5 linked regions of the Rattus norvegicus genome follow. The protein of the gene in region 5 interacts with the protein of the main gene of each other region in a pairwise test. Links are inferred from orthologs where the notes say so. Each region holds a gene or a part of one and is shown on either strand. Other genes may lie near its edges.

The links.
Region 1: the proteins of Smad4 (region 5) and Atf7ip interact in a two-hybrid assay, tested with the Homo sapiens proteins (2 studies listed by BioGRID and IntAct). The link is inferred for Rattus norvegicus from reciprocal best matches to the Homo sapiens genes SMAD4 and ATF7IP.
Region 2: the proteins of Smad4 (region 5) and Dcp1a interact in binary tests that used the Homo sapiens proteins (3 or more experiments, as listed by UniProt). The link is inferred for Rattus norvegicus from reciprocal best matches to the Homo sapiens genes SMAD4 and DCP1A.
Region 3: the proteins of Smad4 (region 5) and Pias1 interact in a two-hybrid assay, tested with the Homo sapiens proteins (2 studies listed by BioGRID and IntAct). The link is inferred for Rattus norvegicus from reciprocal best matches to the Homo sapiens genes SMAD4 and PIAS1.
Region 4: the proteins of Smad4 (region 5) and Ewsr1 interact in binary tests that used the Homo sapiens proteins (3 or more experiments, as listed by UniProt). The link is inferred for Rattus norvegicus from reciprocal best matches to the Homo sapiens genes SMAD4 and EWSR1.

The regions. Positions count from the first base shown.
Region 1 is NC_086022.1:171,195,952-171,201,233, forward strand, and holds part of Atf7ip (activating transcription factor 7-interacting protein 1), read left to right. Parts: intron 1-2,775; coding exon 2,776-3,195; 3' UTR 3,196-5,282. UniProt on the Homo sapiens protein: Recruiter that couples transcriptional factors to general transcription apparatus and thereby modulates transcription regulation and chromatin formation. Can both act as an activator or a repressor depending on the context.
Region 2 is NC_086034.1:5,700,079-5,705,736, forward strand, and holds part of Dcp1a (mRNA-decapping enzyme 1A), read left to right. Parts: intron 1-440; coding exon 441-1,199; intron 1,200-2,920; coding exon 2,921-2,986; intron 2,987-4,220; coding exon 4,221-4,436; intron 4,437-4,695; coding exon 4,696-4,776; 3' UTR 4,777-5,658. UniProt on the Homo sapiens protein: Necessary for the degradation of mRNAs, both in normal mRNA turnover and in nonsense-mediated mRNA decay. Removes the 7-methyl guanine cap structure from mRNA molecules, yielding a 5'-phosphorylated mRNA fragment and 7m-GDP.
Region 3 is NC_086026.1:72,235,282-72,240,939, forward strand, and holds part of Pias1 (E3 SUMO-protein ligase PIAS1), read right to left. Parts: intron 4,946-5,658; coding exon 4,908-4,945; intron 2,251-4,907; coding exon 1,957-2,250; 3' UTR 1,197-1,956; coding exon of another isoform or gene 1,059-1,196; 3' UTR 1-1,058. UniProt on the Homo sapiens protein: Functions as an E3-type small ubiquitin-like modifier (SUMO) ligase, stabilizing the interaction between UBE2I and the substrate, and as a SUMO-tethering factor. Catalyzes sumoylation of various proteins, such as CEBPB, MRE11, MTA1, PTK2 and PML.
Region 4 is NC_086032.1:84,193,575-84,199,232, reverse strand, and holds part of Ewsr1 (RNA-binding protein EWS), read left to right. Parts: intron 1-2,286; coding exon 2,287-2,473; exon of another isoform or gene 2,474-2,593; intron 2,594-2,636; exon of another isoform or gene 2,637-4,381; coding exon 4,382-4,549; intron 4,550-5,658. UniProt on the Homo sapiens protein: Binds to ssRNA containing the consensus sequence 5'-AGGUAA-3'. Might normally function as a transcriptional repressor. EWS-fusion-proteins (EFPS) may play a role in the tumorigenic process.
Region 5 is NC_086036.1:69,545,536-69,551,945, reverse strand, and holds the start of Smad4 (mothers against decapentaplegic homolog 4), read left to right. Parts: upstream 1-2,261; 5' UTR 2,262-2,389; coding exon 2,390-2,638; intron 2,639-4,318; coding exon 4,319-4,493; intron 4,494-5,100; coding exon 5,101-5,130; intron 5,131-6,410. UniProt on the Homo sapiens protein: In muscle physiology, plays a central role in the balance between atrophy and hypertrophy. When recruited by MSTN, promotes atrophy response via phosphorylated SMAD2/4.

The sequences.
Region 1 (5,282 bases), on a different chromosome or scaffold from region 5:
ACAAAGTCATATTGTCGTGTGGCACAGTTATAACTGGTCTTTGGAAGTGCTGTCGCACGCATAGACATGAATATGCATAGGGTGTATGTGAGAGCAAGTGCTGCTCTCAGAGAGGCAAGGAGGAGGGCAGGCTGCTGCACATTACCCAGAGTTCTCCATGGGTGTTCACTGTGTCTCTAACATGCTGGTATGCTTTCCCTCCCTCACAGAGCACTCCAAGGCTGGTGCTGAAGGACTTTCTGGTCTTTACTGCTTGTGTGGCAGCTGATAGTCAGAGCTTGAGTCGGCAACCCATGGTGCCGCCTACAAGCCCCAGTGCTTATGGCTGTGTGTATGTGTCAGTGAGCCACGTCCCCGGCCCTAGAACCTAGATTTGAACAGCTGTGACCTTCATTAATCTTACTGAAATTTGAAAAGTAGCCCCATTGGTTGAGCATTTTACTGTACTGTTTACCCCTGTAATCCTATGGGGATCAGTAGTAGTGTTTTCACTTTGGCAGAAAAAAAGGAGGGGACGAAAATACAAGGTTGTGTGTCACGAAGGTATCGGCGGTTGGTTGCCCCGTGTCCTCGCCCACCACCGCCAGAGCCGGTCAGATCAGGGCGGCCTCCGCAACGGCCTTGCTTCAGGTCTAGCTGTTCTGAGGTGCATGACAAATTTCTGTTGTTGTAGCTACAAAAGTATGTTTTGCTTTCTTCAAGGAAAACAATAAACTAGACTAATTCCCCAGTTTATAATCCACCACAGCTTTTGAAAGCTTTTACTCTTAGAGCTTAAACTGTTTTGCTACAGGCGTAGACTTTTAATTTTATTTTAATGCAGTTAAAACTCCTTGTAAAGACATTCTCAAACATTTGAAGGGAAGAGAGTGTAGTTCCTGTATATCACCGTTTCAACAGGTTTCAGCTCTTGGCAGTTTGTCTCTATCCCTTGATCCCTATAGTACATGCTACATTTCTTGGTTTCCTTTGAGGCAGGGCTCTCCCTGTAGCTCAGACTGGGGCAAACTCTTGGTCCTCTTGCCTCAGTTTCCCAAAAGTTGGCATACCACAGGATCCCTGTCTATGTAGACACATTTGGTTCTTTTAAGTAAATACCTAGTGGTGTATTTCTAGTCTAAAACTTCACCAGCTGCACTGACAAAACCAACACAAAACAACACAAACCCTTGACTGGTTGTAAGTAACGTGGGAGTAGTCAAAAAGCATACGTAATTTATGTATTCAGAGTACAGCTGGCCATATACACTCTGAGCAAACCCATTCAACTCCTGTTCTTTCCTAAGCCCATGGTTTCAGTCAGTTTCTCTTAGCTTTGGCTAGCTGTATAGTTTTAATGAGTTGATTAAGTCACTTCAGGAAGAGATAATTACAGGAAATACAACAGCTCTCGGTGTGATACTACTCCCTTAACCTTGGGCTTCTATGAGCATGGTTTTGTCTGTTAACTGGTGAGTGTGTGTGCCTCTCCACAACTGTATGTATAATTTCTTTTCTACGAGAAATAGTGCCTTTGAGCAAACCATCCCCTTTGGAATCGTCACTATATGATTTCAGCTCCTTCCAGCTTCATTTTAACATGCGCAGTCCTCCTTGTTCTTTGAGTAGCTTCTCTTACAGTAGGATTGTATTTTGCATGCTCTCTTATTAGTAGGTTTTCTTCTGGGTTTTGAACTCTAGCTGAACGATAATTCCTTAGGGGCGATCACACTTAAGCTGTAACTTGGCACTTTTTTCTTTAAGACTGTAGAATATTTTGACTTTTAGACAGCTTAACTATATTAAGGCGTTGGAATCTAAAAGCATGTTACATTATTGAACTGTCCCATAATTCAGCATTGTATTAACTATCCATACAATTAGTACTGTATTGCTTTGCTTTGCTTGGGTGCTATAGTGCCTCACACAGTAGGGATAGCACTCGGCTGCATGCCCACCCTATGTTTTGTTCAGGAGTGTTGGTTAAAGGACAACGTGTGACTCCAGAAAGTCAATGAGTATCGTGTCCCACTTAGGTTCACTGTGTGTCCTGACTCTTACTGCTTTGAAAACTGTTATCAGTATCATCTGAGAACAGCTGTGGGCGCAGTGTTTTCAGTAACTGGTGCTGTGCGGGGTTAGGTCACCAGGGCTCTCCAGGGTCAGCTCCATGCTTCTGAATCACTGGTCGTAGCCTCCTCTTCTAGATCTTTCTGTCTTTTATGTCAAAGAAAGTGTTGGAACTTATTGTTGTTGGCTAACTTCCTGCTTCCTCTGCCACTGTTGCTCATGCTTCCCCTGGTACAGGGTGGAGAGCATTTGGCCGTTTTGCATCTATAAGTCTGTCCCCTGTCTTTCATAGTATCCCCTTTTCATCCGGACCCGCCAGACCGCAGTGCTATTCAGCGTCATCCAGACACGTGCTGCTGTCTTTATATGACAGTAGTTGTAGAGCGGTGTGATTGCATGTACCCGTTTATATGCTACACATAAGCGTATGTGCTTTCCTAAAATGAGAATCTACAGCAGAGGTTAAAGTGTAATTATTTGTTAGACATAGTTGTATCAACATCTCTTCCATGATAGTCCATTAGGAAGGGATTTCTGTTTCCCAAGGAGAACATAATGTTTGTGCTTTAGGAGGTCTAGTTGAGAAAGTTTAGCGTCATTGTCGGGGCAATGGTAGTGGTATTGGTGTTGTAGTTGTGAGGTTGTTAGTTAAGCTCTGTGTTCACTGAGGATCTTCTGAACCTGTTCTGTAATCACCAGAGACCAATCCACCTCTTCTTTCCTCAGGAGCCCCCACGCCCTCTGCATCCAGCGCCCTTACCAGAAGCCCCGCAGCCACAGCGCCTGCCCCCAGAAGCTGCCAACACTTCTCTGCCTCAGAAACCACACTTGAAGTTAGCGCGAGTGCAGAGTCAGAATGGCATTGTCCTGTCCTGGAGCGTCCTGGAAGTGGACCGGAGCTGTGCCACCGTGGACAGTTACCATCTGTACGCCTACCACGAGGAGCCCAGTGCCACTGCGCCCTCACAGTGGAAGAAGATCGGCGAAGTCAAAGCCCTCCCCTTGCCGATGGCTTGTACTCTCACGCAGTTTGTGTCTGGCAGCAAGTATTACTTTGCCGTGCGCGCCAAGGACATTTATGGCCGTTTTGGGCCTTTCTGTGACCCTCAGTCCACGGACGTGATCTCTTCGTCCCAGAGCAGTTAGACCTTGGAGCTCTTTAGCTTTCACTTTTGAAGGTTTCACATTTGGGCTTGTTTTTAATCTTGTGCATGAAATTCAATGTAAAAATCCATCTTGTGCAAGATCTCCCGGACAGATGACTGTATACACTACGTTTGTTTATGAACCGGAAGCAAAATAAATTCAGCCCATAAAGCAAGTCTTCCCCTGAACAGTTCAAACTTCGGGGTTTTGAAATGTATATTTATTCCTTGCTTTGGTTTTGAGGCTGGGGAATATGTATGGGTGTTTGTGTGTTTTCTTCCTTTCTTTGAAATTTTAAATTTCTAGTTGTATGTATATCACAGTGCGATCTCCTGTTTTCCTCTCAAATTTACCTCTCTTCCAGTAGGAAGTGTATTGGTGAGCGAATCTGAGGTGCAGAGCTGGTGTGATTCTGCCTCGAGGGGAGGCTAAGATCAAAGAATCTAAATAAAACCCAAAGAAAGAAATAAAGGAAAATATTCAGCTTAAAGTAGATGGATTTGAGCAGGGGATACTCCCTGTGTTTGCTTTGCTTTCTCAGTTGCTGACAAGGTGAACAGTGTCCTGCCCTCACCTGAGTTCCTGGCTTCTCCTTTTGTGTTCGTGCCTTAACTGCAGAAGTCTACAGGCCATGTGTCCATTATTGTAAATTCCTCTTTAAGCTTTCATTAGTTCATTGCCACCAAAATCCCGCACCCTTTTAAGTGTTTGAGAAGCAAGATGTGGACACGTGTGTGTGCACGCATTCTCCATGACGTCACTGTCCTCAGCTCCACAGTTCTGACTCATGTTTTAAGAACATATTTCTATCTTTGCCCATCATTTAACTGCCCATCTTAAATTGCCATAGTGTTTAGGAACAAATTTCCTTAAGGCTGTTTTAGCATCCATGTTATATTAGGGAATCCGAAGGAAGTTCTGGTTCATCTCAGCACTCAGCACTCACGGGGTGGTGTCCTTTCATGTCAGAATTCATGAAAGACTAGAAAAGCTCAGTTTCCTCTTGATTCTCAGGAGGTCCCTACTGCTTTAGTCAGAACTGTTTTGATGGTGCCAAGTGGAGTCTGATTTAATCTGGTTTCAGTAGAGCCTAAATGCTACCATTGGGGTCATTCCATACTTGGGGTAGATCTGCTCGCTTTACTGTTTCTCCTTCAATACATTAATAGACTCAGGCTCAGCCTTGCATTTCCAAGGCATGGCAGCTGCAGGGAGTCAGGCAGGTGCCTTCGAGACCTGAGGGGAGCACGAGCATTAGGGACAAGTGAGGCGTTTGTGGAGGCTGAAGGCACTTTTGAGCTGTCTTTCCTTACGGTATTTCAAGTCCTATTTCTACCTTCACAAGCTGCATCAGCCATTCACTTGTCCTGGTATTAAAAGCAGGAGCCCTGTTCCCTCTGTGTATTCTCTGATGGCTTACAGAAGGAATCGTTATGAAAAAAGTGTGTCTGTCATCTTTATGAAGGAAGCCTGCAGTTGCCAAAGTGTAAATGCTTCTAACCTTCCATTCTGAGAAAAAGGATAACCACAGCAGAATCCTTTTCCCACAAGTTCAGCTTGGCAAGCAATCATGTCACTAGGACTGCCAAGATTCACAATCATGGGAAACTGTTGCCAGTGTTATGGTAATAAGGCTTTGGGAAGGAAGAAATGATTTCCTAATTGCTGTGAGCATGTCTCTGTACTGAGGGTGTCTGTCTTACGGATGCAGTGTTGGTCTGGTCACCATCATTCCTGTTTAGTACAAAACGCGTATTCAGAATGTTTTTCCCTGGCTGGTCTGCTCACTGGCGAATGAGAGTCTCTGGATAATATGTTTGTTTCTATTAAGTAATTATTTTGTATTTACGAGTTCTTCTTTAAAAAGTTTTCATAGTGTTACATAATCACGTGAAGAAAGCCCAGTGGGTGTTTTTTTTTTTTTTGTCAAAGGAAAAAAAAGTCCCAAATAATGGCTCTAGATGTGACTTACTTACTTCAGAAAGTAATTACTGTAAACTGTTTATTCCAGATTGGAAGAAGGTATAGACAGAGAGTGTAATCGTGGGCCGTCTCCTCAGATGACTGTCATGATGCTTTTCTTTGGG
Region 2 (5,658 bases), on a different chromosome or scaffold from region 5:
AGGATGTGGAGGAGAAATGACCAAGGGATAAGTTGTTTTGGGTGTTTAGGTTCCTGCCGTACAATGCTAGCTTTCTATCAAGGAGTTCAGTCCCTCTCTCCACACTGGCACCGTTTGCCACTGTGTCACTAACATGAGCACTTGACTCGGGTAGCTTTGTTGCGTGTAGCCCCAACCTTAGCCACATTCACCAGGGGAAACAAAGTAAATGCTAAAACCGTTATCTAGAACTCCACAGAACAGAACTTTGTCACTACACAGCTCCCATGCTCGGCCTTGGTGAGCCTCTGAGCCCTGCAGGCAACCACTTTCTGCATCTTAGGATGCTCTGGGCTGCTTTCCTCCACTGTCCACGTGTATGTGTGCGTGCTGGAAGAGGATTGTGGGTCCGCTGGTCTCCGAAGCGTTCTTCGAGCGCGCCGTTTGCTCTTGTTTTTCAGTCTGCTCCATCCGGTCACAAGCATCTGACGGTGGAAGAATTATTTGGAACCTCCTTGCCAAAGGAGCAGCCAGCACCTATGGGCCTAGAGTCAGAAGACACGGACAAGCTGCTGGGAGATGCACCACAGAAAGAGCCCAGCTCATTCCTCCCGTTTCCCTTTGAGCAGTCAGGGGGAGCCCCTCAGGCTGAAAACCTGGGTGTCCATTCTGTCACTCACCACACAGTCCAGCCTGAAGTCAGCGCCCCTGTGCTGATCACTCCCGCCTCCATTGCACAGTCGGGCGACAAGCATCCCCCAAGCTACACTCTCCCACTGAGCCCTGTCCTCAGCCCCACTCTGCCAGCTGAAGCTCCCACCACACAAGTTCCCCACTTACCTCGGAATAGCACCATGATGCAAGCAGTAAGGACCACACCTAGGCAGAAATCTCCACTCCTGAACCAGCCCGTCCCTGAGCTAAGCCACAGCAGTCTGATTGCTAGCCAGAGCCCCTTCAGAGCCCCAGTGAGCCTGGCAAACACAGCTGGCACGGCCATCCCAAGCTCTGATCTGCTCCAGAAACTCAGGTTGACCCCACAGCATGACCAAATACAGGCACAGCCACTTGGAAAAGGTGCGATGGCACCCAACTTTTCTTCGGCAGCTGGCCAGCTGGCCACCCCTGAGAGCTTCATAGAGCCTTCCTCTAAGACAGCAGCAGCAAGAGCAGCAGTCGCAGCCTCCCTGAGCAACATGGTGCTTGCTCCAACCCTCCAGGTAAGACAGGAGCAGGAGGGGGAAGAGAAACGAGAAGGAGGGGGGATCCCTGTCCATCCTTACCTCTCTATGGTCTGAAACTGAACTTGGTGTGTATTCTTATACACACGTGTGCATTCTTGTACACATGTGTGCATGCATAAATGATTTTCCAGGTTTTGTAGTAACTCAGATTTGCTGTGTAAACAAACCTGGAGGAGTTAGCATTGGAAGAGGAATACATTGTAAGTTAAGGAGTGTGACTTGTTGTTAATGTCAGAAACAGGAGTCAGGCCACCCATTCCAGAGCAAGCTGTCAATCACTTGGGCCTGAGCATTAGGGGCCTGGGTTGAGCACTGTGGACAAGTGGATTTTTAAAATGTTGTGTCAGTGAGGCTTCATGGTAGGTTGTACAGAGGTAAAGCAGAGGTTTGCCTGTCAAAGTCACTCATCAGCAGCAGATTTACCAGCGAGAAAATGAGCTGAGTTGTTGTGATCATCGCATGGTCACAGCCTGAAGGGAGTGTGCCGCTCCATGACTGCTGCCTGCTGCTTGCCTGCCTGCCTGCCTGCCAGCATTTGGATCTGACACGTGAAAGGAGCGAGCATTCTGCTCAGTGACAGGGCTCTGTGCTGTGTGTAGGTGTCACTCGATCCTCTCCTTTGCTCTCATAGACTACAAAAAGGGCACGGAAGAGAGTTTAGGTTTCTGATTGTAGGGGGAAAGGGTCTGTCCCAACTCGCAGTTAATCTGGACGCTCAGGCGATGGTCTGCACCTGTCGTCTTCACATTCAGCCCCAGAAGACAGCACCACACTCTTGCAGGCTGCTTGGCAGGAACCACTTACATACATGTGAATACCCATTTAGATGGCAGGAACCACTTACATACATGTGAATACCCATTTAGATGGCAGTAGCCAAAGTTTAAGATTTTGTTCTTGCCTGGTATAGTGCACTGCACACACGCCTATGTTTCAGTAGAAATCTGTGATTTCAAGTCTACATAGCAAGCTCCAAGCCAGCCAAGGCTGTCCTGTATCAAAACAGAAAGACCTGGTCTGCATGGAGCTCTCATGTTTACTGTGCTGCACTAATGCTTTCCCAAGGCCATGAGAGTGCACACCTGTAAAACCATTGCCAAGAAAGCTGAGGCACAAGGGTCTCAAGTTAGAGACCGGCTGAACAACCCTGGTCTCAAAACAAAACACCAGGACGTTCTCTGCCCCTACAGTGTACTTAGGATGCAGGCTATTCAGTGCCACTAACCAGGGTCAGAGGACCTCTGAGAACTTGGGACTGTGGACAATGGCAGTAGAGCAACTTGCCTGTCATACGCGAGGCTCTGAGTTCAGCTTCCAGCACTGCAGAAAACGTTTAAATCATTTATATCGTGCACATTCTGTGTGCAGCAGCCGCTTGTGAAGCCAAGACAGGAAGATTGCAAACTCAGGTGCGTCTCAACCTCTAGACTGAAACAAACTCCAGGGCCGAGGATAGGGCTCACTAGTAGAGTTGGCCCTGAGTTCAGTCCCCATCACACTTCTTAGAGTCACCTGACAGGCTCTGTCCACACATCCCTCGGGGACTCCACAGGAGCTGCTGTCCAGGGCCCTCGTTGTGGAGATGAGTCACTGGGAGCATTACCAACAAGTTCCTGGGTAATAACACTGCTCTGTCGCCGACAACTAACTGAAGCTTGCTGTATCTGTTCATCCTTTTCCCCCTTTAAACATTTCAGTCTATGCAGCAAAACCAGGATCCTGAAGTATTTGCCCAGCCTAAGGTGTTACCCAGTGCCATCCCGGTAAGTAAGTAAGTGTGTGTGGTGTGTGTGTGTGTGTGTGTGTGTGTGTGTGTGTGTGTGTGTGTGTGTGTGTGTGTGTGTGTGTGTGTGTGGTGTGTGTGTGTGTGTGAAGACATAGCAAGCACTCACCCCACTCAGCCATTTCCCCAGCCCTGGGACATCCTCCCCCCACCCCTGGAGAGCACATTGAACAGTTGTGGGATCTTCTGGTGTAAGGTGGGCTCTTACCACCTTAGTGAAAAGCTGTAGCATTCCAGCTCTGTCCTGTCTCAGATGCCCTTTTAGGACAGAGTTGCTGTGGCCTGAAACCTTGTGTTAACTCTGTATAGACGTCTTGACTGTATAGAGGGCGGGTCAGCCACTGGGTGGGCCGTGTGGATCATTTGTAAGTGGGTGGGTGCTGGGCCGTATATCAACCTGGTCTCTATAAGAGGTACTCCTGGAAAATGAAGCATCCCAGGAGACAGCCACTGTCCTGCCACAGTCCCTTACTTGTGATGACAAAGCCTCCTCACCTGTGTACGTCCCTCCTCCTCTCATAAGCACCTGCCTTGTTTTGTTATCCACCCCTCCATTCACCTGCCAACCTGAAAGACTCAGTTCTCCCACGGCACTCACTCACCTGCTTATGAGCCTGTCCCCTCTCCTCTCCTCTCCTCTCCTGGATTTTCAGAGGTTACCTTCTGTCTGCTTTAAGTTAGCCTGTCCTGTTGTGTGGTCATCAGCAGAAGCAACTAACCCAGTTTTATACCAGAAAGCAAGCCAAGGGGCTGGAGGGCTGGCTCTGCACCTGCTGAGCGGTACCGATGCTCCTGCCTGAGGATCCAACACCCTCTTCTGCCTTCTGTGGGCAACACACACTCTCTCTCTCTCTCTCTCTCTCTCTCTCTCTCTCTCTCTCTCTCTCTCACTCACACACACACACACACACACACACACACATACACTCTCTCTTTCTCACATGTACTGTCTCTCATACTCTTTCACACACACTCTCTCACACACTCTCTTTCTCTCTCTCTCACACTCTCTCTCTCACATGTACTCTCTCTCACACACACTCTCACACATTCTCTCTCTCTCTCTCTCTCCCCTCCCTCCCTCCCTCCTTCCCTCCCTCCCTCCATGAGCATACATGCAGCCAAAGCACTCATACACATAAGGTCTTAAGGGCAGGGGCAGGCAGGCCGAGTGGCTCAGATAACAGAAATGACTATTATTCTGTGTCCCACAGATCGCAGGCCCTCCATTGGTTACTGCAACAACCACAGCAGTATCTTCAGTCCTGCTGTCCCCCAGTGTGTTCCAGCAAACAGTTCCCAGGTCTGCAGACCTAGAAAGGAAAGCCAGCTGCCCCTCCCCCCTCACTATTGGAGCAGAAAATCAGAGGAAGCCTTCCATTATTCTCAGCAGGTCTCAGCTCCAGGACACACTGATACATCTAATAAAGGTATGTCAGGTGTCTGCTTAGTTTTTAATTTCACGCTTGACAAGGCTTAGTGTATATTGGTGCAAATTCAGAAACCTGCCTGGCAGCAGCCTCCTTTCCCAGGTATATCCTCCTGGAAAATGGAATGGTGGATGTAAGTGTGACTGTCTCGGGGGCAGGTTATTTGGGGAATTAGTCAGTTCTGTGTGTTCCTAAGTGGTTACCTTAGAGGCGAGTTCTGAGGAAGTAACAGGCAGTGTGTCCTTCCCGTCTCTTCCAGAATGACTCCGGCTTTCTCAGCACGCTTCATGAAGTTTACTTGCAGGTTCTGACCAAGAGCAAAGACAACCACAGCCTATGACTGCAGTGGATGCAGTGCGCAGGGACAGGGTCCACCTCCAGACAAGCAGGCTTCCTCACGCACGTCTGAGGAGAACATGGAGCTTCGAGGAGCCTGAGGGCCTCGTCCTTAGGGATGTTTCTAGAGACGTTCTCAGTGATGATGGAGGTTTCACTGTGAAGCATCACCAGCAAACCTTTGTTTGACAAAAACAGCAAGAGACCATTGTGTTGAGTTCCGTGGGCGTTTTCATCAGCTGTAAGCCCGTGTGTGGAATGAGGGCCTGGCTGTCAGCTGCTCTCCAGGCCTGGGAGGAGCCACCAGCCTCAGTGAAGCCCACGCCCTCCCTCCTCTACCCCTAGAAGCTCTGAACTCAATGTCAGCTCGCAGAGTAGCTTCAAGATTTAAGGATCAGGATTTAAGTCGACTCTTTGGAAGGTATTTGTTCAAGTGAAGTCTATTTTCTATGAGCACCCGCTTGGGCCTTAAGACTTCTGGGATGTCTTTGTGTTCCGGGAGGTGTCCCTGGCCTGCCCTGCCCTGCGCAGACTCCGTGAAGCACAGCTCTTTGGGTGGGGCCCGCAGGGCTCTGGTCGGTGGAGAGGAGGCTTCACACCGTTGAAGCAGAGGCCGGGGCACACAGATCCAGATCCTACCAGAAGGCTCCATTCTAGTGAACTCTCAGCAGTTTAGTGTCACGTTTGTGCGTGAAGCGCAGCCTTATTTCCTTCTCCGTCTAAACACAGTTGAAGTTGTTGTTGATTGTTTTCCTTAACTGCTGGCAAAGGACCAGTGGACCAATCTGACAAAGCCATTCTGGTTCCATTCCTCAGATGTGCTGAGAGCAGTTTTAAAGCTATGCAGAAAAGGGAGCTGTCCCCACACTGCCCTTCCTTCGTTGTA
Region 3 (5,658 bases), on a different chromosome or scaffold from region 5:
AAAAACGTAACTATTTCTGGTTTGAACTGACAACAAATGTCTTGTTTTATTGCGAATTGTTTTGTGACTCTAACACAGCTGTTTGTGTGGAACACACATGCGTAGGGGAAGACAACGATGTTACTCACACACACTTATTTATAAATACATATATACACACACACACATATACATATCAACACCAACTTTTTTCAAAAATTCAAGTTGACATTTTAGTAGCAGAGAGACACTATAAAACATATTATTTTTAGATGCCACACTGTCATATGAACCACTTGCTTTATCATATAACTGAAGACACAGCCATCTTGACTTCTCCCTGGATTAGTATCGGTCCTTCTGTACTGATGCAAGGCTTGAAAACAAGTTTACTATACACAAAGCTGGTCCTTCACCAACTCTGAAAACACGAGGGTGTAATCTAAAAAGCCAGTTGCAGGACCTGGTGGTGGCATGCCTTGGCTCTCTGCAGTTAGGCCCGCACCCCCCATTAGCCACGCGTCATCTATTCTCCACTGTAAGAGCATGCTTTCTTCTCTGCTCAAGTATGAGAAGCACTTGTTCCTTCCTTTGACCCTTAATCATCTCGAAAACATTTTAATATATTTACATATTCTGCTATTGAGATTAGGTAAGACCAATCGATTCTTCAATTAAAAAAAAAAAAAAGGCTTCCTATGTCATGCTTGCCACTAAAAAGTGAAGGAAAAAAAGAACACAGCTAAGAATAAAAAGTATACTCAGAGCCTCAAAAACAAAATAACTAAGGTTATTTTTGAGTTTCAACTGTTTATCAAATAGATTTGCTATGAATCCACATGTGCTGAACTGTTAACTTTAGAGTAACTGACTTCTTTCCTTCCTTCCTTTTCTTTCGATGGAATGGAACGTCCTCTGCCAGCTGCAAATGGCACTCCACACCCCACGGGGCTACGAGGGTTCTTTCAGATCCCATTTCGGTATGAAGATCCTCAAGGAAAACTTGTTACCCTATGGCCAAAATGCAGGTGCTCACAGCCTTGGCTTACATATGGACCACTGGCAATTCAGATTTAGAGTCAACCAAAGTGTATTGTCATTCGAGGGCCTGCCCACAGATTGCTTATCCAGGCAGCTTTTACTCCAGCACTTCTGGGAAACACACTCGTAGAGGGTAGACAGCAGATCACAGGGGATCTGTGATGGAGAACATGCACCTGGGGAGAGTTGAGAAAGATGCTCACACAAGAGTTCAAGACCTCGGAAACATTTTGAAAGAAGTAGGAACTGATATTAAGCAAATGCAAACTGAGGAGGAGGGGACAGTGATGACAGAACAGTACACACAGGTGCACAGCACACGAGAGCATGCGCACACACACACACACACACACACACACACACACACACACACACACACGAGCTCTGTTCTGAAAACAAAGGGGAAGCAGTGAGATAGACGAGTTTCATAACTTAAGGCTGGCAAAACCCACACACACACACAAACAGAATCCAAGTCTGTCACTTTTAAAAATGGAAATCAAAGCTATCCCAACCCCTTCCCCACAACAAAGCCAACGATTTAACCTCATACATGCAACTGTTTCCATTATTGCAAGAAAGATAATGCCATTGAAGTAAAATAAAACCCAAACCATAGGACAAATGGTGAAAAGTCTTCAGAATCCAGAAAAAATGAACTGAAGGTTTGTGGGTGCTTGTTTTTTTCTTTTCTTTTTCTTTTTTTTTTTAACAAGTGTTTTATCAGACAGGCAGTCTTAGATTTATATACAAAAGTAAAACTGAAAATATAGTTTTGTTCTCTGTACATTTCTTTTAATTTTTTTTCCCTAAAAAAAAGGAAAAAAAAAACACGCTGTATACTTTTCTAAACAGGATAAGGTAAAACAGAGCATAGAGTTCTCTTCTGCCAAGTCATTTAATCTGGGATGGGGTGGGAGCAGCAGGGTGAGGGCGTCAGTCCAACGAGATAATGTCTGGTATGATGCCAAAGATGGATGCCGTGTCTGCGCTGCTCCTGCTGGCCACACCATGGCCATGGCTCTCCCTCAGACTGTTGGAAGACACAAGGCTGCTGTTGCTGCCACTACTGCTTCCATTGGTGGCTGGCAGAGAAGTGCTCCCTCCTGCACTTAGCTGATCGAGAAACATCTGCGAGGAGGTATACGGGAAAAATCGGGAGGAGTGCAGGAGGTCCTGGTCATCTGAGACCGCAGCTGCCGCTGCGGCAAGCAGGGAGGTGTTGTAATGCTAGGAGGGACCAGAGACAAAACACTCTGTTACAATCAGATGCACCTCTGTGTACTCTTCTCAGCAAAGCAAGGCCCAGGTTAGCATATCCCGAGTGTCTGGCTTCTCAAGTGACAACACACTCTGTGGTGAATGGCTGGTCACGACTACTGAGAGCAGAGAGCTCTGGCATGGTATCTGAAACTGGAATAACACTTCTGATTGTGTGTGCGCATGTGTATGTTTTGGTTTGTATTGCATGCGGGTCTTAACCCTCTATTTCTGACATGTTCAGAAGCAGTAGAAAGGATAGATCCCGCATTTCCAGTGGTCAGTTCAGCCTGAGAATTGTATCACAGATGCTCAGCTGCTCCCATGACCTGGCTGCAGCTCTGCTGGGCACAATGTTGGCACATATGAGCATCTCTGAGCTGGAAAGGGCAGGAAGAACTTGCTGTAAAAACCAAGCGATGTCCCGCCTGCAGGGGGCACTCTCAGAGTCAGGTGTGTGGAGCTTGCACGTCTCTCTGAGTCAAGGACTGCTGCTGAGTGACTGCGAAGGAAGGCTGAGGACAGATCTGTGAGCTACTGTGGCTTTGCCAGCACTCTAGGCTTAGGCCATTCTACATTTATTGAAAAATTAAATCCCAAACCTAACTATCCTTAATTATCTCAGTTCTATATCAACTTTATTTTGTTTTGAAACATTTATAACCTACTAATTAAGCACAATGAGCTCTAACACTTTCACATGTGTATGTTTTTGATCCTAACTGCTTCTGCTACTTCCTCTTGTTCCCTCTCTCTCTGGCTGATCTCCTTCCTTTTTCCAACAGTCTCTTCGAACGATGTGTCCCAATGAGTTTATTCAGTGTTGCTTACAGAGCACAGACAACTTAGCAGTGGCTATACCACTGAAGAAAATGTCTCCATTAACCATTAACTACCTACAAATCTTTAGCTTCTGACTGCTTTATTCTTTATAATAACACTTAAAGCATGAGTACACTATAAGGCTATGCAAAAATTCCTTTCTTCCTATCTATACCCTATGAGATATAGTTACATATTTTGCTAAAAAGACAAACACATCACACAGACACCCCCCCCCCCCTCAGGTCTACAAAGGTCAGGCAGGAGTTAGAACCAGTCTATTAGGCACATCTTGTTTCCTGGAAGGTTTTCAGGACAGGGACAATGCCTGCTTCTGGATCCCTGACAAGCTACTAGGTCTCATCCTGAGCAGGTGTCATTCTTCAGAAACATGCTGTGGTGCTTTGCTTGGTTTGTGCCTTTCCTCTGAGATGCACTTGTGAATAGCATACCATAAACATGCCCTTTTCTGACGTTCATGTTCCCAAGCATCTGAGGGGGGCTGCTGATGCTTCTCAGTGTTCCTGTGGCGGTGTAGCTTGGACAAAGGTCCTACTTGGGCAGTGGGTCCCAAACGCCACTAAATCTCTTTGATCACCTAGCATGCTGGCTCAGCAGATAGTAGCCCAGGTACTTGAGTTCAATGGGTGGAGTACACACAGAGGTGAGGAGGGCTGACTCCACACAGCTGTCCTTCGACTTCCAAACACGTGCTATGTTACACCAAGCAACAGTGTGCATGCAATAGTAATAAAAAATTAAAAATGTATATACAGGGCCATAGGAGGAGCTGAAGGAGGGAAAGAGATGGATGGAAATAATATAAATAAAGTATGTATGAAACTCTAAAAAAAAATCTCCTTGACTTATTTCTCTTGGTTGGGTCAGAGTCATGCTGTTGGAACAAGCCCACCACACTGACACTGGCATGAAAGAGGACAGACGTGAGCACCATCACCAATGCACGACTTCAATCAGGGCTCCAGCTTGCTGGCATGAAACCCAGGAGGGCATTCTGGACAGTGGCTGGGTCACTGCTTTGACAGTGGCAGCTACTGTTCCAAGAGGGAGGAGCTTCTGTGTTCATATCCTTAGCCACGTTTCTATGGCTGAAGCAGGTCTTTCTCAATCTGTGGCTCTCTCACTGTTTCCAAGGAGACTTCTTGTACTTGGTCTTGCTTTTCGAGTCTGTAGTTCTGGTGCAATAGGACAGCCTGACTGGTGGATGACAATCCCTGATTGTTTCCTTCCATATTCCTTATCACTTCTAATTTTGTACCCAGGTCATTATACATGACCTTTTAGCAACTCATTTTTACATTTCGGACTGAGATGAATAAAGCAGCATGAGCTAGAGTAAAGCATGGAGAAGGGGAAGCAGTCAGAGCTGCAATGGACACAATAGGAAGAAGACAGCGCACTGTCTAACTGAAAGTCAATAGATCTTTGCTATCAATACCCAGTACTCACAGACCGCACAACGTGCCCCTGGCAATGCACTAGCATCACAGGCTACAGCAGCTATGATGCCCTGGCATCAGGACACTTTCCTATATCAGTCACATGGCTCACCGCCCTGTGTCTTTATACAACAGTACTGAGAAACAAACAGGCAGTCACTGCCTTTATTCTTTACTGAAGGTGGGGTGTGATGAATGAGGCTTTTATTTAAATTCCTAAAGACAGAGCAACCCTGGGCACATGCACTCTATTTTCTAAGGAAATTTATTCTTTCTTCTGGCCATGTATTATACTTTTAGTTTAATATACAATTAAAGAAATAGGTTATTTTCACATTAACATACCTGATTGTCTCCTGATAAGAAAGGAAAGAAATCTAATCCTGTGGAAAGAAAAAAAAAAAAAAACCTCAGAGAAAAGAACAACAAAAAGGAAAAGCAAATCTTTCTAAATATTCAGCACTTAAGTCTTACATGCCACACCCTCTGGATTCCTATTTAAACACAAGGAATGACAGACCATGGTGGTGCACACCTTTAATTCCTGCACTTGAAAGAGGCAGAGGGAGATAGATTCTTAAGTTAGAGGCTAGCCTGGTCTACACAGCAACTTCCAGGCTTGTTAAGGTGCAATCAAAAGACTGTCTCAAACAACAAACAACAACAAAACCCTACCAAAACAAACAAACAAACAAAAACAAAGAACAAATCAAAAATCATGAGAAGTCAAACTGGAGGTTCTATGGCACTTCTACCTGTAGACTATGAAGGACAAAACCCAAGTTTTGGCAACTTTAAATTTAAAACCCAAGTTTTATACCTTGCTCTTACTTAATCTCCATATGTAACCATTTATTTATTTGTTTGTTTGTTTATTTATTTGTTTGCCTGTCTGTTTGCTTAGATGGAATTTCATGTAGAGCAGGCTGGCCATAAACTATGTTGACTTGGAACTTCTTAATCATGTCTTCGCCTCTTGAGTGCTGGGATTACAGGGACATACTACTTACCATGTTTAGTTTATCTGGTTCTGGGAATCAAACCCATCCTCTCAGGCACACCTGCAAACACTCCCCTTATATAACCTTTCCATTTA
Region 4 (5,658 bases), on a different chromosome or scaffold from region 5:
TTTTTTCGGATTCTAAAGGAAGCTTCGGAAGAAGGGTACTATGTATCTACATTTCACATTACAGAATTCAAACAGTTCTTAATCAAGTGATTTCTGATGTTCACTATAAACAGACTTTCTTTGTACAGTGTTTCTTACCACCATTTCTTTTGAAGAAATCATATAGATGTGCTTGGTCTCTTGTCACTGTTCTGTTGGTTTTTGTTCATTTTGCTTGGCTGCTTATGTGGGTGCTTCAGATTATTAAAAAGATTACTAATTAGCCCAGTATCTGTTACTATAAAATTGTTACAACAGGCTCTCTCACTGCAGTTTAGAGATACAAGTTACTGTCTTCATCAGTTTAGTTTGTGTTTAACTTCTGTGAATCTTGGAAGAAGGGAGAAGTCTTAGAGAAATTGGACTTCAACTGTAGTTGAATGTGAATGGTTACCTTTAGAACTTTAAAACAAAGATTCAGATACATAGGGCTGGAGGTGTAGTTCCATGATAGGATGCTTGCCTAACATGTATGTGAGGTTCTGGGTTCTACACTCAACACTACAGAACAAAAATCTCACTTAACATGAGCATGTCAACTCAAAATTGTTAAGGCTTTTTTGTGAAATACATTTTTAATGGTTTTTACCAGTTTAGATGGGAAAATATGGTCTTTGTATATAATTTTAGGATCTCCTTTGAGTGTTTGAGAAGAAAGGATTGTGTTAGTGCTACAAAAAGTACTTTAGATTCAAAAAGTTGAGCTAGGTATGCTAGCAAAGGCCTTCAGTTCTAGTACTTGGGAGGCAGAGGCAGGCTGATCCCAAGTGAGTGCAAAGCCAGCCTGAGCTACACAGCACGTTCCAGGCCACCCAGGGCTACATAGTGAGATCCTGCATCAAAGAAGCAGGTTGTGGTACATGGCTGTAATCCCAGAAATCTGACATTTGAGGTGGAAGGCATTGCAAGCAAGTCTGGGCAATTTAATGATACGTCTCTGTCTCTCTTCCTCTTAAGTTTGGCTAGTCCTAAGTGTAAACTAAATTAAGTAGTCTTGGTTCAAGATAGGTTTTAAATATTAACGCTCTTTTTTGTTTTTTGTTAATGTTGGGGGTTTTCAGTGTGGGTGGGTGGGTTTTTTTGTTGGGGGAGGTTGTTTATTTGTTTGGGTTTTTATAAGACAGGGTTTCTCTGTGTAGCCTTAGCTGTTCTAGACCTCTGTAACCCACGCTGGCCTCAAACTAGAGATCTTTTTGTTTTTGTGTATTGTTTTTTAACTAGGTTCTCCTTTGTAGTTTAGTCTGTTGGAAATTGTGATCTGAGAATGTTGAGATCACAGGCATGCACCCAATCAGAAAATCCTTTTTAAACTTTTGTGAGAATTGGATGTGAATCCTGGCATCTGGGCTCAGCCTTTTAGTGCATTATTTACTGTGCCTGTTGACTGTAAAGAAGGCAAAGAGTCCAGTACCAGGGTTGTCCTTTTACCTCCCTTTCTGGAACATTTTATTTCCTGTTTTATTTTTTAATTAGTTGAAAAAAATGTGTCTATAATCACTAAAAAACCATCCCTGTCTTTCTTACTCACACCAGGGCAGAAAGAAGCCTGCTCTCCATGGCAATGTGTTTTAGTGGTTTTTGTTTTTTTTTTTTTTTTTGTTTGTTTGTTTTTTTTTTTTTTTTTTAAGACTATTCTTTCTTGAGGTAGAGAATGTAGCTTAGTTGGTAGAGTGCTTGCCTGGTATTTATGGGGTCCTGCACCACATAAACTAGGTATGGTGTGACCAGTATTCTCAAGGCTGGAGGCTTGAAACAGGAATCAAAAGTTGAAGGTTATCTTCTGCTACGTAAGGGATTTGAGGCCAGCCTTGGCTACATGAGACCCCTGTCAAAACAACAGTAAACACACTTCACTTTTCTCATAAATATATTTTGAAAACAGAAATGGTGCTTTAGATTTTAAATATTTTGGGGTCAATGAGATGGCTCAGCAGATAAAGGCACTTGATTGCCAAACTTGATGACCAGAATCCAACTCCCACAACTTGTCCTATGCTTCCACACACATGCCATGATGAGCTCCCATGTACACACACGTAATACAAAATAAATACATGTAATAAAAACAATTTAAACACTCTTTTGTTGCTACTTTTGCAGCTACTTTGTTGCTGCAAGAAAAATATAGGAATTCAGTTTTGTGGTGCTTCAGAGTTGGACCGTTTCCAAGTTGTTTTGGTGATAAATGCACAGGTATGGCTCTGGCAGGGCGGGCAGAGAATCTTACCCAGGTCTCTTTTGTTGTAGGTTATACCACTCCAACTGCCCCCCAGGCGTACAGCCAGCCTGTCCAAGGATATGGCACTGGGGCTTATGACACCACCACTGCTACCGTCACCACAACGCAGGCCTCTTATGCAGCTCAGTCTGCATACGGCACCCAGCCTGCCTACCCAGCCTATGGCCAGCAGCCAGCAGCCACTGCACCCACAAGGTAAGGCCACAGTTGTTGGTTCCTCTGCTGCTCAGCTTTGGTGATTTAAATTGCTCTTCACGTTCACTAGGTATTGACTGTTACCCCAGTGTTTCCAGAGTGCCTGAGCACAGCACACAGGTATTACCCCAGTGTTTCCAGAGTGCCTGAGCACAGCACACAGGTATTCTGTTGAGGGCTAGAAATGGAAAGTGTCATCTGCCAGGTTTCAGAACTACTTTTGGGGGAAGGAGGTAGCTGTTTTTCTTTCCTAAACACAAGGAAACTTGAGTACATGTTTCCCATATTGTTTAACTAGCAATAGAACTTAATCTTTGGCTCAGTGACGCTGTAAATTGTTAACTGCTTTCCTTTAGGAAATATGTGGTAGTTGTAGTACATGGTGGAACGGTTAGACTTGAGTCAAGAAGTACTGTATGTCCCAATTTTGTCAGTAAAGGATATTTCCATATCTGGGAAGGTTCAGTTGAAGAATTTGACAAGATTTCCTCAATATATGTAGTGATTAGTGGTTTGATAACCAAAAGTCATAGACAAATAAATTTATAGCTGGTTAGCCAGTTATGTGCTAAATATTAAGAGTCCAATAAAGTACTCTGACTGCTCAGTAGATAAGTGAGATATATTACTTAACAGAAGGTTTCAGGTCTTTACTTTAGACAATGCATGTAGGTGGCTTCTGCATACAGTCTTGAAGGAGCACAAGATTCTGATTTGAAAGAAGACTATAGGGAATAAACAAGAGATCACCTTGTAACCTAGACTTTTTATCTGCTATAGAGGTAAGAAATTAGCTCTGGCAAACACTCTCAAAATTACTTCTAAAGTGCAGTGAGTAGTCAGAGCCACTTGTAGCTAATATCCAAAAAACCCCGTATAGTACTTTTATTTAACTGGCTGATTCCTAAAGGCCCCACTCTAGTTGGGTTAAATATTGGAGAATTTTGTTAGATATACAAAGTCCCATGTGATGCTCTTCTGCAGTAGTGTGTATCTAGGCCACAGATCTCCATCGTGTATAAATTGGTTTTGATAAGTCACTGATTTGTGTCACCCTTTCCTCCATCCTAGTTTTCTGAGCTGACACCTGCTTGTAACCCATTTCATCTCAGTGAGGAAACAGTACTTCTGCATCTGCTGTAGTCCACCTGCTGATCGGGGCTTTGCTTTAAGTAGCCCCCTAGCTTAGCTCTGCCACTGCCTTCCACTAAATTGTTTGTGCCACAAGGAAGTGGGACTTCTGAGTTATTTCTGTGTTGTTGAGAATTATTTTTATTATTTAATGATGGTATTTGCTAGTTAGTCTGAGCATGGGGTGGACTCATCCCCATGCCCATTTTGTGGAGATTGTCGTATAGCAAGGTTAAGTTCATTTACATCAGACCAAGATAAGAAGTGTCTCTTCTTGTTTGTTTCTAGTCAGTGAACCCACAGATATCAAAATCTATAAATTAGTGACCTTAAAATAACTCTAAACTTGAATTTGCACTAAGTCCACTCTTTTTTTCTTTTTTCTTTTCTTTTTTTCGGAGCTGAGGACTGAACCCAGGGCCTTGAGCTTACTAGGCAAGCGCTCTACCACTGAGTTAAATCCCCAACCCTGTTAAGTTCACTTTTTTAAAAAAGTGTTTTCTTCCTCCCCCTCCCAGTACTTGTTCATATTGGCGACACAGGCTTATGAAGTCTCTTAGTAGCTGTTAATACAGAACAAATTTTAAAAACAAAAACATTGTTAACTCTCTTAGTGTTTTCTTCCAGCAAATACTAATGAATGATACTGGGTTTCATTTACTTTATTTTCAAGCTTGGTCTTATCATTTCCTATTGCTCAAAGAACTGGGGGGTTCTTACCTAGGGGGTGTCTGGGTTGTTAAAATTAAACCTTAACTGTTTTATTTTTCCTTTTAGACCACAGGATGGTAACAAGCCTGCTGAGACTAGTCAACCTCAATCTAGCACAGGGGGTTATAATCAACCCAGCCTAGGATATGGACAGAGTAACTACAGTTATCCCCAGGTTCCTGGGAGCTACCCGATGCAGCCAGTCACCGCACCTCCATCTTATCCTCCTACCAGGTCAGTCTCACTTTTGTGGCCAGTGAATTAGTAATAATGCGACAGGTATTTTCAGGTTATTGACTAGCTAGCATTGGCGTCCTTGGGTAAGATTTGTTTTCTGACTTGCCCATATTTGACCACAAACGTAGTTAATATTTAGACCTCAGCATTGGGTTCCATAGCAGTGCCTGGGATCTAGCTAATAACTGTTCTCTAAATAATGACCCCAAAACGTCAGTTAACTGAAAGTATGGGGCTGGAGAGATGGCTCAGCAGTTAAGAGCACTGATTGTTTTTTCAGAGGTCCTGAGTTCAATTCCCAGCAACCACATGGTGGCTCATAACCATCTATAATGGGATCTGATGCCCTCTTCTGGTGTGTCTGAAGACAAGGACAGTATACTTATATATCATTAAATCTTTTTTTTTTTTTTTTTTTTTTGGTTTTTTTTCGGAGCTGGGGACTGAACCCAGGGCCTTGCGCTTCCTAGGTAAGCGCTCTACCACTGAGCTAAATCCCCAGCCCCCATTAAATCTTTTTTTAAAAAAAGTATGAGAGACAAATGTTTGACACCACCTACACAGAACTGTAGCAATTATCCCCTCAACACAGGCACCATGGGTAAAGTTAAGGACAAGACTTCCTGCTGCCGTTTGTAGTGCTGGAGAGGGAATCTGGGGTCTTGTTCATGGCTGGAAAGGTACTTCTGAAGGACTCCAGCTGAAGTTTCCTTGTCCTTCATTTTCTGTCCTAATCATTGTAGCTATATTGTCCAATTTTAGTTTCTTTAAGGAAAACTACAAGTTTTCTGACCTGTGAATTGAAAGAATTGTTTTAATTGGCTAAGATATAATAAATAGTTCCTGTTTGTATCTGTCTTAGTCAGGGTTTCTATTCCTGCATAAAACATCAGGACCAAGAAGCAAGCTGGAAAGGAAAGGATTCATTCAACTTAGACTTTCACATTTCTGTTCTTCACCCAAGGAAGTCAGGACTGGAACTCACACACAGCAGGAACCTGGAGGCAGGAGCTGATGCAGAGGCCATAAGAGGGGTGCTGCTTACTAGATTACTTCCCCTTACTTGCTCAGCCTGCTTTCTTAGAGAACAGTGGACTGAGCCCTCC
Region 5 (6,410 bases):
GCTTAGTAGGGGAAACCCTTATGGGGGCAATTAATATTTTAGCTGTAATTTGAAAGGAAGCTAGGGCTTAATTACCGAGTGGTTAAAATGGGGATGAATGTTTTAGGCTAAAGAATGCTATGAGTTAAGCATGTGAAACACAGCAATGTGTTTGCTGGACAGTATGCGGGACTTACCTGTCCTGTCCTAGCAATGGGTATATAATGATGAGGATGACAGTTCCAGTTTTTGGTCCACAGGTGTTTTAGTCATACTGTTCATTTGCTGAAGAGTGAGACACAGGAGACACCAAGTCCAAGGCTAGTTGGGGGCTGGCTGGCTTAGTGTCAAAGGTTTAGTTCATTATCATCTTAGTGGGAGCAGTAGCTGTTCTGCAGGCAGAGAGGGTGTGGGGAGGGCTTTAGAAAGTCACAGCCTAGCACCTCCAGTGACACACTTCCTCCATCCAGACTGCAGCTCCCGATTCTTCTAATCCTTTCGAATAGTGCCACTCCCTGGTGATGAAACATTCCAATATTTGAACCTATAGGGTGCATATTTATTCTAACTACCACAGCAGGTGTTGTAATATAGAAGTTAAACTAGTGAGTCTGGCAGTGAGAGGTATCAGACTAGTAGTTCTCAGGTTAGAGTGGAGCTTTTTTCTTCCAGTCCAAATCTTGAATCTTGGGGCTTCACAGCGTGCTAAGCAGGCAATTTATTACTTAGCCTTAGGAAAAGAGTGTGTGTGTGTGTGTGTGTGTGTGTGTGTGTGTGTGTGTGTAGGGTGTGTAGGGTGTGTGTCAGGCAGTTAGCTCTTACTGAGTTGTACAGTCTGGCAGAGTGTGTGTGTGTGTGTGTGTGTGTGTGTGTGTGTGTGTATAGGGTGTGTGTCAGGCAGTTAGCTCTTACTGAGTTGTACAGTCTGGCATTGGGTTTATGGTCTGTCTCTGTCTCCCAAGAAGGTGGGATTGCAGGTGTGCACTACATGCCTAGCCAGGATTTGTGTTTTCTCTTTCTGTTTCTCTTTTCTTCTTTTGACTGTACAGTGATTTCTTATACTTCTCCCTTCTTCCTTTTCTCCATTAACAAATCATCATTATTTAAAAGTGAGACTGTGGACGCTGCACACATGGTTGTCCTTTTATCTAACCTTCTGTATGCCTTTGAACTGTCAGTGGCTAAACTGTCATTGTCTCCTATATTTTCTGTGGAATGCTTTACTAGGAGAAGATATAATAAATGAGTGTATAATGTGTTTCGGATAACATCCTTTAAAAACAAGTACCTCAGGATTCAGGCAGGGAGTATTTGTGCTGAAACCTTGTACAGTGCGCTTCATACTGCTTTTTCTCCCTTGAGTTCTTTTAGTTCCAGATTCAAGGGTTAAGTAACTCGTTGTCTAGCTGCTTAGTATAACTGGAATCCTAATCCTGATCTCTGATTCCACATCCTCGTGCAAAAAGTTATCTGGAAAGTGTCTCTTTGATGACAGTTTATTAGCTGGTTGTAACCTTAGCATTTAGGAAGCTAATGCAGGGGTATTGTGGCGGGTCCAGCCAGCATGGGCTACAGAGTAAGACCTTGTTTCATCTTTTTATTTATATTTATGCATGTGAGTAAATGATAACTATTGATAGACACGAACATTTGCTTCCTTATGTGGGGATATAAGGAGTTGAGAAGCATTTTATAAAAATATTTTAGAGCAACGGTTTCAATCTGTAGGTCATGATCCCTTTGAAGGTTGAATGGCTCTTTCACTGGGGTTGCATATCGGATACCCTGCATATCAGATATTTACATTATGATTCAAAACAGTACCAAAATTATAGTTATGAAGTAGCAATGAAATAATGTTATGGTTGGGAATCAACAGCATGAAGAAGTGTATTAAAGGGTTCAACACTGCGAGGCTTGAGAGCCACTGCTCTAGAGAAGGTGAATGTGAAATAACAATGGCGAGTATAAATGCTAAGAAGGGTCAGGATTGTAGCAGTGCTGTAGAAAATAGGGTGCAGAAATAACTAAGGAAAAGTTTGGGGTAATGGCACATTTGGTAAGACTTGATTTAGTGTGCCTTTGTGATGAGAAGGCCTGAATTTTTAATGATTTGGAGTATCAAAAACTATATTTTATAATTGTCATTTCAAACTTTAAACATTCTTAAAAACTATGGGCATTGAGTCTTTTGATTTAAGTGGAAAAGTTTTTCAAAACTTTCCCACAATGATTGTATCTACCTTCTGAAACGTGTTCTCATCTTTCTTCTTCTTTTTTAGATTATCCTGCTCACCAGATGTCTTGAAAATTTTTCTTACAACATTGGCCATTGGTTTTCACTGCCTTCAAAAGATCAAAATTACTCCAGAAATTTGAAAGTTTGATTTAAAAGAAAAAACGTGAACAGATGGACAATATGTCTATTACAAATACACCGACAAGCAATGACGCCTGTCTGAGCATTGTACACAGTTTGATGTGCCACAGACAAGGTGGAGAGAGTGAGACATTTGCCAAAAGAGCAATTGAGAGTCTGGTAAAGAAGCTGAAAGAGAAGAAAGATGAACTGGATTCTTTAATAACAGCTATCACTACAAATGGAGCTCACCCCAGCAAGTGTGTCACCATACAGAGAACACTGGATGGACGACTGCAGGTTAGTCTGGAGTTCTGAACGTCTTCTGGGCTGGTAGAGTAATAGATACTTTTAAAATTTTCTCTTAAGTTACTACCAATTTAATGTGAGCTCCATCTTCATATATTTATTTCATATATTTAGAGATTTATTTTTGTTGCTTATGTGTGTTTGTGTGCACATGTGTACAGATACTGAAAGAGGCCAGAAGAGAGCATTCCCGGATGCTGCCTCAGAGCAGAGCCTCAGGCATTCTCAGTGCTGGGCTATCTCCCGAGCTCCATAGCTCTGTCTCGACATACTGTACATCTTTTGCCAGTGTGCCTGATGAGAGTATGTGGAAGAATACATAAAAGATAGATGTTATCTTTTTATGTTATTATTCAAAAATCATGCAGTGAAGAACAATTTTAAAAAATTAAATGAGAAACCCAATGTTGAAAGCGAACTTCCTGTATAGCACGTTGGCATTCATCTTATAGTTCACACTCGCCACCTGCCAACCCTTTTTGGTATTGTAAATATCCTAACTGATAACACTGGACTCTTGTCATTTAGGGATGTTAGACTATTTTCATTGGAGTGCAATACTCAGTGGTCACTTTTTTCAAGTGATATCATATGCGTGAGGAAGTTTGGAAATGTGAAGGTAGATTTTAGAATTTTATTTCTAGATTTTAGACATAATTTTTGACAATTTCACACTTTTGCATTTTAAAAACCTGAGTGCAGGCCTTGAAATTGAACTGTGGGAGTCCAATTCTTGCTGTAGTGAGATTCTGGAGAGGCTGTTTATTCTTTGTGGCTCAGCCTCCCGAGGGCTGAGATCACAGGTGTGTACTCCTATGTTTCAATTAGCTTGAACTTTGGATTTCTCGTCTTTGAAAGGATAGTCGCAGTCTGAAATTGGCCGCAGGGGTGGAATTGTGTGTGGGACTCACAAACCTGTTTTTCCTAGTATATGCTGAAGACATGACTTTAAAAGGCATGAAGATTTCTTTTATCTTGGTAAACAAGCCGGTCTTCAGGTAACGTCCTTGAGCATCCTCTAATTCAGTTCAGTTCTGACCCAGTCTACTTGGAGATGCCAATCATAATGGTCTGGTTGTTTTACCTGTGCTTCTGTCTGCTGTCAGGAGTTCCCACAGTCCCACCCACAGGCTCAAGTAATTTACTCAAGCATCTCCCATAACTGAGGAAACCATATTTACCATTATGAAGGCTATTGCAAGGGCTACAGATTGAGAGAGGCATAGGCAAGGTAAACCTCCATAGCCTCTCCAGGAGGACCAGCTTCCATAACCACGTGGTCAGCTATCCCAGGCTCTCAAACCCTGTTCTTTTGTTTCTTTTCTTTTTTTTTCTCTTGCAGGTTTAATTACCTAGACATAAATTAACATTGTTATCAGCTCTATATTACATTGTAACCTTTCCCTTCAGCAGAGGTTGGGGAGTGGGGGCTAAAGTTCTACCATGGTCTTTCCTGTGATTGTCCCCTTCTGATGATGCTTGGGAGCTCTAGACTTCAGTTGGCTTAGACCTCAGAAAGAAGAGACGACTTTTAGAAGCCTAGGATTTTAGTTGTATCCAAGGAAATTGGAACAAGGCCATGCGTGTGTTTCGCAGTGTCATGGATTCTCACTCTGTACAGTCCCTTGCATAACTTATACTTAATAAATTAATAATTGCTTCTTGTCCTAGGTGGCTGGTCGGAAAGGATTTCCTCATGTGATCTATGCCCGTCTGTGGAGGTGGCCTGATCTACACAAGAACGAACTAAAACATGTTAAATATTGTCAGTATGCATTTGACTTAAAATGTGATAGCGTCTGTGTGAACCCATATCACTATGAGCGGGTTGTCTCACCTGGAATTGGTAAGTGGACTGTCACTGCAGAACCGTCACAGATGTGTAAAGGGAAAAGACCCCAGTCATGTTAAGTTCTCGAAGTTAAAGCTTGTATTTGAGGACTACTCAAGACTTCAAATGAAGTTAAAGAATCAGAATTAAAATTCATTTTGAGACTGGGTTTCATGTCCCAGGCTGGCCAAGAGCTGGCCGTGTAGCCAAGGGTGACTCTTGCTCTTCTTCCTCCCAGTCTTGAGCACTGTCACAGAGACACGCGCCACCATGCCTGGCTCAGGAGTCAGATGTGTTAGATGATGTAAATGCTTAAATCTGAACAAGTTGTGGGGTTTTTTTACTTCTAAAACTGAGTATATAAAATTGATCCTTTACCTCTTTTGTACATTGTTGTTATAAATAAGATGAGAGACATATATATATATGTGTATGTGTATTTATATAAATAGAAATTTAGATACACATATAGTAAATGTTTGCTTCACTTTTTAAACTGAAATGGCCCATGAATTTTTATAATCTCTGGCTTAACTTGATGTTCTATAACTTAAAATGTAATGGAAGATATGTTCATGGTAATGATTTATGTTTCATTTTCTTTTCCTTAAAAAAAATTAAGATCTCTCTGGATTAACACTGCAGAGTAATGGTAAGTAACTAGATTCTTGTAACTTTTTCTCTTTTCTTTTAACATGTCTTATTTATTTCCTGTTCATAAGTGCTTTGTGTAGGAGTTAGTAACACTAAAAAGAAAAGAGTTGCTACACTGAACATGCAGATTTAGTAGGGAGGTATGTAGTAACATTGAAAATTGGACTTACTACATTATTTTATGCATTTGAGTGTTTTCCCTGCGTGTATGCCTGTGTATCGTATGTGTCGGCTGCCTGTGGAAGCCAGAAGGGGCATCAAAGCCCCAGTGAAACAAAAGGCTAAAGTGTTTTGAGATGAGAAAAGCCACTTGGTTTTAATTTGGGTGTTTTAGTATATATGAAAATGGAATTTTAAAAATGGCTTTATTAAGGAACTGAACCCTCTCAGTCCTAACTTACGGAGATGCTGCATCGTCATCGTAGAGCAGTGAACGTGGTCTCCCACAGTTTTACAGTTCTGGAAAGCCTGCCTGGCGTTAGGCTCTTCCTTCCAAGTGCCTGAAATAGAGGCATCCACTGTGTGGCTTACAGGTTTCTAGAACTGTGGTTGGTGGTAGTGGGAGCCCTGATTCTGGGGGTGATGGCTTTAAGGTTGCTGAAACCTCTTCCTCTGCTGGCTCAGGACATCTTGTGAATAAGTGCCTTGCAGGGTGTTACCATTCTCATCCATGCTCTTAGAATTAGGGTTTAGGAAACTCGTGATAATTTCACAATTTCAATATGGAGTGGCTGTGAGGGTTCCACATTAGTGGATCCCCCTAGTGGTAGTTCTGTAGACAGTCTTGCCTGCTTTAAATTGCTTAGAAAACAGATTTTTCACACATTTCATTTTTGAACTGGACAAAGAAATAATAGTAGGCTGGTTCATGAAAAGCTGAGAAAAATGAAACATTCCTTTCTTGTCAGCTGGGATTGTGTGGTCATCAGTTTTAGCAAGGGTCATCTCTTTCCTGAAACTGACCATACTGACCTATGTATTCATTTTACAAATATTGAGATTTTTTTTTTATTGCCTGCTGCTGTGCTAAGGGATATTAAGAAAAATGTGGCATGTTTCTTCTATTCAGAGTTCAGCACATTCCTCCCTTGGCTGTGTTATTTTGACTAATATACCAAGTGATTTGGAATGCTGCCAGCTTAGAATAGGGCCTGGAATAGGAGAAGTTCTTAACAGGTCCAGGCATCGTCTTATAGACTCAGGGGATGTCCCTTATGATTGGTTAACTGAGAAAGAGAAGACTAGGGCCTAGTTTTCTGTTGGTTCTACATGTTAAGC